Linked DNA regions of Neurospora crassa OR74A. The protein of the gene in region 2 interacts with the protein of the main gene of each other region in a pairwise test. Links are inferred from orthologs where the notes say so. Each region holds a gene or a part of one and is shown on either strand. Other genes may lie near its edges.

Evidence for each region.
Region 1: the proteins of NCU03440 (region 2) and NCU07989 interact in binary tests that used the Saccharomyces cerevisiae proteins (3 or more experiments, as listed by UniProt). The link is inferred for Neurospora crassa OR74A from reciprocal best matches to the Saccharomyces cerevisiae genes APL3 and APS2.

What each region holds. Positions count from the first base shown.
Region 1 is NC_026504.1:3,822,427-3,826,319, forward strand, and holds NCU07989 (AP-2 complex subunit sigma), read left to right. Parts: upstream 1-1,343; 5' UTR 1,344-1,937; coding exon 1,938-1,969; intron 1,970-2,125; coding exon 2,126-2,195; intron 2,196-2,272; coding exon 2,273-2,602; 3' UTR 2,603-3,389; downstream 3,390-3,893. Other genes in the region: NCU07988 (ATPase family AAA domain-containing protein 1), read right to left, coding at 1-13, 96-760, 825-884; NCU07990 (hypothetical protein), read right to left, coding at 3,698-3,893. UniProt on the Saccharomyces cerevisiae protein: Component of the adaptor complexes which link clathrin to receptors in coated vesicles. Clathrin-associated protein complexes are believed to interact with the cytoplasmic tails of membrane proteins, leading to their selection and concentration.
Region 2 is NC_026502.1:713,408-717,609, forward strand, and holds the start of NCU03440 (AP-2 complex subunit alpha), read right to left. Parts: upstream 2,815-4,202; 5' UTR 2,167-2,814; coding exon 1,957-2,166; intron 1,872-1,956; coding exon 1,582-1,871; intron 1,520-1,581; coding exon 1-1,519. Other genes in the region: NCU03439 (hypothetical protein), read left to right, coding at 3,267-3,497, 3,583-4,202. UniProt on the Saccharomyces cerevisiae protein: Adaptins are components of the adaptor complexes which link clathrin to receptors in coated vesicles. Clathrin-associated protein complexes are believed to interact with the cytoplasmic tails of membrane proteins, leading to their selection and concentration.

The DNA.
Region 1 (3,893 bases), on a different chromosome or scaffold from region 2:
GAGAGTCATGAATCTGTTGTTGTAGTTTTAAGGTTAGCTCCGGAAGCCCAAGGTTACACAGGGCGCATTTTGAAGTAGAGCAAAGGGTCACTTACTCGGCTTTAACCATGCCGCTAGCCTCATGCTCTCCGCTTCTCCTTGTTCCCAAGACGGCATCGATCTCGTCAATGAAGATGATGGCCGGCTGCAGCTTTAGCGCAAGCGAGAACACTGCGCGTACAAGCTTGTTGGAGTCGCCGTACCACTTTTCTGTAAGAGTCGAGATATGCAGATTGATGAACGAGGCGCCGCTCTCGTGCGCCACAGCTTTGGCCAGCATGGTCTTTCCGCAGCCAGGAGGGCCATATAGCAAGACGCCCGAAGGCGCGGACAGTAGCGTGCCGCCATGCGAATAGAGCTGCGGCATCGTGAGCGGGTAAATGATGGCTTCCCTGACCTCCTCAATAATCTCGTCTAGACCGCCGATATCGTCGAACCCAACCGGGATGTCCTCGGGCGCAACTACTTCCAGCGCTACCTGGCTCTCGTACTCGTTGAGAATGAGGTCCTCAACCCGCACGGTGGAGGGTGAGTCTTCGGGGACCTCATCGTCGGCGAACTCGTCGTTGGCAACTTTGGATTTGTCTCGTGACTTTTGTATCCTGGCCAGATTTTGTTGAGCTTTCAGCCTGTTTTGGTCGTGCTTAGCACGGTCGGGGTCGATGAGCTTTGCGACGTGGGGGGCGACGTAGTCACGGAAGATGAAGTATACGGATATTGTCTGGAGAGCAAAGTGTCAGCAGATTGTGGTGGGCGCATTGCATCGCGATTAGCAGGGCCCGTACGGTAGCAGCTAGTAGTAGCCCGGACATGATGTCCTTGGCCACACGCTTATTATCGGTCATTTTGACTTGAAGAGTGAGCCCTGGCCGGGTCGGGAGGGGAGTTGACAGCCCGCGGGTCGCATCCAAGAGTTGAGGGCTCTTTTGTCGTGGACGTCGTGATCGGAGGACTGGTAAGAGGATACAAGATGTATAGAGAAACAAGGGCTAATGCAACGAAGCGAACGGCATGCACCGGGCAGCAGCAGTAGTTGTTGTTCGCGTCCAAGTCAATGGACGTGACTGATGGAGGATGGGAACTTGAACTGAATCATCAAAAGTTGAAAATGGGTCCCCTCGAACGGTGGTCCTCGGCTTCAGCTTGCCATGTGCACTGCGTTCGGCCCAGAGAATGGGGCGCCACCCCAGTGGCTACAATCGATGTGACCTGACCTTGTCAATCTTGCCAAGACCTCACACACTTGTCCCCATTACAGTGAATGGTCCCGACTCCCTTGCTTCCGTTCGATCGATCGAACCTGACAAAGATTGGACTCGAACTGGAACGGCACCGCACTGAAACCAAGCGCCAAAACAACGACTCCAGTCGCACTGCGACACGTGAAGACGCGGCGCCTGCCCTGGGCGGATAGCGCAGCTGCTATCGATAAGCTCCTACAAGTGCCAAGAGTTGCCCCCTATCGGATCGCATCAGATGGAAATCAGCCAGGGTTCCCTCCATTCCGCCTCCACTGCCGCTGTGAACGAGCACCTCGATGGACGACGGAAAGGAAAGCTCGGGCCCCACTCACCCCTGGGCGGCTCGTATGGACGCGGCTCATCCCAGAGGGACGACAGCAGGACTTCGACATCACCGCTAGCAATTCCATAATCCGTATCTAATCATTTACACAACACCATCTTTTCCCTTCCCGTCGATCCTTTGTACGAACATCGATTTACGTCGCATGTGAGATCCAATACCACGCGGTTCTAGTGCCGGGCAGTTCAATAAAGCAACGGCGGATTCGCGGTTCGGTTTGGTTCTCTTTACACTTTCTGTGTATTGTTTTTCAACTTGGCAACTTTCAGACGGCCGCCCGCCTCGCTGTTGTCGCAAAAGTATAATTTGCAGCCATGTTGTCTTTCATTCTCATCCAGAACCGACAGTACGTACCCTTACCTCCTCTTCTACTACATACAAGCGCATCATGTGTCGCAAAGTCGCAACATCATATAGCAGATGTGCCACACCATACACCATACACATACATATCTAAAAGTCCATTGTCGCAAACTCGATAGACTAACACCACCAAACAAAGGGGTAAAACCCGTCTAGCAAAGTGGTATGTCCCCTACAGCGACGAAGAAAAGATCAAGCTCAAAGGCGAGGTATGTCCAGTTTTCCCTCTCCCCCCTTCCCTTCCCCCTTACTTAACCTCCCCTTCTAAATTCTTCACATCCCCCAGATCCACCGCCTAGTAGCCCCCCGCGACCAAAAATACCAATCCAACTTCGTCGAGTTCCGCAACCACAAGGTCGTGTACCGACGATACGCGGGCCTGTTCTTTTGCGCCTGCGTCGACACGAACGACAACGAGCTAGCCTATTTGGAGGCCATCCATTTCTTTGTCGAAGTGCTGGACAGCTTCTTCGGCAACGTGTGCGAGCTGGACTTGGTCTTCAATTTTTACAAGGTGTACGCCATCCTGGACGAGGTGTTCTTGGCGGGCGAGATTGAGGAGACGAGTAAACAGGTTGTCTTGACGAGGTTGGAGCATTTGGATAAGCTGGAGTGATGACGGAAGGAAATAAGGCGTTGGAAGGGAAGAAAAGGGCGAAACGGATAAGGGGCTAGGAGCCAAGGGGGGTGGATGAATGCGGAAAAAAAAGGGGGGCGGGGGGCGGCTGACTGACGAACCGCGACCGACCGGCCGACCGACCGACACACCAAAATATCAACCAGGGGCTTGGGATGGACGACGACGAATACTGACTTCCGCACTTGGACGGCTCTCGGCAATTCCAGCCGAACATACGGGTGCAGTAACGAGGTCTGACCTTCTGCCGGAATCGTTCGAACGACCCAGACCCTCGACCCCATCAACACAGAGCTGAGCTGGCTGGACCTTACATGACCACGACCCTCGGACGGGAAAGCTTTGGGTTAGTAGACGTCAACCCCTGCCGTCCACACTTCCAATGAGAGAAACGATCACCGACTATCCAAGCATCGAAAAGGGATGACAAGAGAGAAGGACGCGAAGAGGTGGTTACATATACCCATATCACACATAAGGGGCAGGAACATGTTCAGCAAACACTGAACAAGCAAGCTGCCTATTCTACCACACCAACAGCCCCTTATATATCAGGGCTTCTGAGCTTATACTTAGAGTAATCGATCAACTAATCTTACAAAGACACCGCGTCGCGAGATCCGAAACGCATTGCTCTATGAAATATTGGTGTTCCTTCACGACTCTGCCTGAGAAGCTTCCGATGTTCTCTTCCAAAGCATGAAGTTTTCGTCAGTGGCAAATAAATGAACCGTCTCTGCAGCTCAGCAACGAAGCGAGCCTCAATGGCCGGTATTGACACTATTGTGTGGTGCTCGCCATGAAGTGAACCCTGCGCTGCAAAAAAATTCGGGTATCTACCTGCCGTTGTCACCAAAAAAAAGTTGCAGAATTAACTTTGACCATGGAGAGACGTTCGTCGACTTGGACATGCACCAAAGGGATGTTTCAATTCTAAACAACTGTTTGCTTGCTTGCAATCTGTATCGAATCGTGAAACGAGACCATAAGAGGTATTTGACGCCATGATCCAAGTAAGTCCGTAGCATATCTTGCCAACCTGTCAACAGACTGGCCTGGAGTCAAGTGCAGACACTACTGCGCCTTCGACCCCTCGAAGACTGTGACGTCCACTTGATCTTCAGGCTGAGAAATCGTAACCTCAACAGGTTCAAGGTCCGCTTCAACGTGAATCACGTCCTTGATGGCCGTCTCAGATTTGCTATTGTCTCCAATCTCCTCTGCGCCCTCCATTGGCGTGCAATTTTCATGGTCATGTACTGTGGCCCCA
Region 2 (4,202 bases):
TCCGGCGGCCGGGGCAGCACCGCCGTTGGCTGGTCCGGTCTTGGTGCTAAAGGTCCGCCTGAGGCTGGCTTTCTTGGCCAGGCTGAGCTCTGCACTGTCCGCGTTGGCATCCTTGCCACCAACAATCCAGGTCCTCTTGTCGCTGGTGTTGGCGTGCTTCTGGTGTAGCCTCGAGAGCAGGGCGGATTCTCTTTCGGGGAACGGTGGCATTTCATCGCACACCGTTCGAAGGAGGTCGTCTGTGGGCAAGCTTGCGATGGCCAGGAACTCGCAGGCACGCTGTTGCAGTTCCGCATCGAGCGCGTGGCTATAGACGTGGAACACGTTGACGAGCTGCGGCTTGATTTCCGGAAACAAGTTGACAAACTTGATGAAGCACGAGAGGATCATGGCTCGTGTGCTGGAGGAGCATGCAGGAAGCTTGCCTTGAAGGGCCAGGAACTGCTCTATAGGACTGGAGCCCCTCTCCTCGGCAATCAGATGGCCGAACTCACCCAGGATATAGGCACCAATCTTGACAAGCGTCTCGTGGCAGTGGTCCTGCTTGCAGTACTGGAGAATATTCTGGGCTGCATACACCTGAAGCTCCTCGTTGTTCGTAACAATCTGCGTCACTCGCTGCCAAACTTCGTCGCTGACGTGGTCACCAGCCATGGCAATCAGGCGCAAAGAAATGTCAACATACCATTGCACGTCGGTGGCGTACTTTTCCGTGAGAATGGCAATCTTGAGCACCATTTCCTCTCGGATGGCAAAGTCGGCATTCTGTAGGTAGTGTAGCAACTCGGCCACGATCTGCTGGGCATTGGACGTGTCGCACATGCTGTACAGCAGGTCGAGACCCTTCCTCCGAACACTGATATCCCTGTCCTTCAGAGAGCCGATAATCACATCCTGGTGCTGCTTGATCGGTTCCAGGGTGTCGGTTCGTGCTGCCAAGTGTGTCATGGCCTCGAGACCGAGATAGCGGACATTGGTCTCTCGCGATTGGATGAACCGGCCAAGTCTCTGGGACACCTGCTTCATGAGGTCATGCTCGGTATCGAGATGGATGATGAGGTTGATAGCCTCGAACAGGACGGCGTTTTGCGCATTGTTCTGCTGAACGTTCTTCTGACTCTCCACAGCCAGGTTGAGAATCTTCTGCAGCGACTCCCGGATCATGGACCGGACATGGCTATCCTCGGATGGCGGGAAGTACTGCAGTAATCGTAGAAGCTTGACCTGGATCCATGGACAAGGCACCTTGTAGTAGAGGTAGTCCTGGCTAAACTCGCCGTCGATGAGAATCCGTTTTAGCCTGGCGGCGGCTTTAACATAGGCACCCTTGTATTGCTCCGTGTTATCCTGCGCCAGCGCCATGACAAGGGATGTTACCGATAAGGCCACGCCGAGGTCGGTATCGTCCATTATAGATATTATACGTTCCGCCCATTGAGCCTGGACAATATCGGGGTTTTTGCGGTATAGTCGGAGTAGCGTGAGTGCCGCCTTTTTCTTAACGAACGCCTTCGATGTTCTATAAACCGAGTTAGTATGACAATGCGCCGCTTCCAGATGTAATAGACAAAAACCACGTACGGGGAAATCAGAAGCCTGTGAACCTCGGGACTCAGCGCTTCACCCATCTCCTTGCCACCGACGTTCGCAATGGCGTGCAGCGCCAGGCAGTTGAACAGCTCGTTATGGTCCATCAAGTCCTTGCGAATGCTGTTGACGACCAAGTGTAAAAGCTCGTGCTTCTCGTGGAGGAATAGGGTCATAGCGAGGTAACCGATCTGCTTTTCCGAGTACTTGGTGGCCGAAATTAGATTAACGGCCTCTAGGTGGCCAAAGTCGACGTTCCATCCCAGAATGTAGATATAAAGCAGCTATTTGGGCATTGGTTAACCGTGGTGTTCTTGCTCTTGCTGGTGGTACAAGTGGGCGCTCAGGGGGTTTTGGCGTGGCGCATACCTTGCAAACGTATTTCTTCTTGTGATAACCACTTAGGCTGCCGTCCTTGAACTTTTGACGGATGTTGGCCAGCTCCTTGTTGATCCGCTTCTCCTCGAGTTCCCTAGCCCGAGCATTTCTGAGATCGGCAATGAACTGGACCAAGCCGCGCATGTTGGAGTTGCTGCTGGACGAGCGGCCCAGGAAGCCGGTTCCTGTTGACGACGACATTATGGCGGTTGTGCTGAGTTGGCCCGGGGTATCTTGTTGTGATTAAGTTTTGTATTCGAGCTTCTCTGAGTCTGACTGTTCGGTCACGTATACACGGTGGTATCGTCCAGCAGGAGCTTTTTCTCTACGCGGTTTCCGGAGAGCCAAATAATTCTGCTTTGCTTTTTTATGCCGACCTTTTCACACTGAGAGCATCACGAGCAACAGGATTGATCCATCGACATTCGATAATTAACAAGCTAATAACCGTGGCAGCACGAGTGGTGGTCGTCGGAGTTTAGTGTTGTGTATGAATGGTGGAAGTTGCGGTCGGCGCGGCGGCTGACAGCATCGATCGATGTCACTTCGTTCGGTTTCGAAGTGCTGAGTGGTCAACCAAAAGTGGAAGTTCGCGATGCGCTTCGTTCGGTTCGATGTTTCGTCGTGGTGTACAGGGTATCGGACAGTCGACTGAGACAAAAGACAGGAACCAGGGTCGCGGAGACAATGAAGGGCTGGCAGAAACACACACTTGTCGGGTTCAGTTCGCGACGTGTGCTGTGTCGAGTTGGGGAAGGTCGGCGTGGTCGGCGGCTCCGGACTGGTTGTTGGTTGACGACGAGGATTCTCAGGGGAGGGGACTGGCGGACGGCGACGGGCGGATTGGCGATTTCCTCCACTGCAAAATAAAGGGGATCTCCATCCAATAAGTTCAGTTTTAACCCGCTGAGGGAATACGATACGTACCGTACCGGCGTACCTATGGACCTCTACTGGGTGCCCTGGCCCCCCCGCGAACCTCGCTAGCCAGCGGGCAACCACGCTGTAACATGTACTTCTAGCGCTTCTCTATCACGACCAAGGGCGCCACAATACCCCCTTTTTGTGGCTAGTCGCACTTATAAACCCCGGCAAGAAATGTGGCTTCCACGCTACATCGAGCCTGAGAGGAGCTATGACGATTTAGATGCGCCTTGGCATCCACCAATCCGCGGTACCTCGATGTCCGGCGTAGGTAGCATCGATTAGTTGTCTTCAAACCCAAACTTCCCCTCTCAACTCTTGCCTATCATGCCAAAGCCGGGCTCGAGTTGTGACGGCTTCACTAGTGTACTCCGAGGATGCGGCTGACTTTGGCTCCAGTCTGCCGGCCGCAGCAATGGAAACCGCTCCTCACGGGCGGGACGGCCCGTCGATCATATGCCTTTCAGTCCGGCAGCCTCAACTTTGAAGTCTTCAACCGCCGCGCAAAGTGGTTGCAGAAGGAGAGGGCAGCTGCCAATGTTGAAGGGGGCCGTCAAGCCGACTACCTCAAGGATGAGGTCGCCATGCGCGTGTGCGAACGTCTTTTGGTAAAACATACCCCGTCTCCCTCTCCTCTCTTCTTTTATACTGTCTGTCATATGATATCGAACTAACCTCATCCCACCCCTCCAGGACGTCAAACGCCAATTTCCCCGCGTCCTCGACCTCGGCGCAAACTCCTGCAACATCGCCCGCGCCCTCCTCCGCCCAGACCCGGACCCCGAATCCGAGCCCCCGGTCACCGACCCCCTAGCCACCAAGATCACCGAGCTCGTCGCTGCCGAATCCTCCCACTCTCTCCTCCACCGGGACCACGACCACCCCTCTCTCTCCACCACCCACGTTCCCGACTTCAAGCTCACGCGCCACGTCCTCGAACACGACGAGCTCCTCCCCTTTGAGCCCGACTCCTTCGACATGGTGCTCAGCAGCATGTCCATGCACTGGATCAACGACCTGCCGGGCGTGCTCTCGCAGATCAACAGCGTGCTGAAGCCCGACTGCCCCTTCATCGGCGCCATGCTCGGCGGCGACACCCTGTACGAGCTGCGCACGTCTCTGCAGCTGGCGGAGCAAGAGCGCAAAGGAGGAATCTCGCCTCACGTGTCGCCATTGGCGGACGTGCGCGACGTCGGCGGCCTGCTGCAGCGCACGGGGTTCAAGATGTTGACGGTGGACGTGGAGGACATCGTGGTGGACTACCCGGACATGTTTGCGCTGATGCAGGACCTGCAGGCCATGGGCGAGGGCAA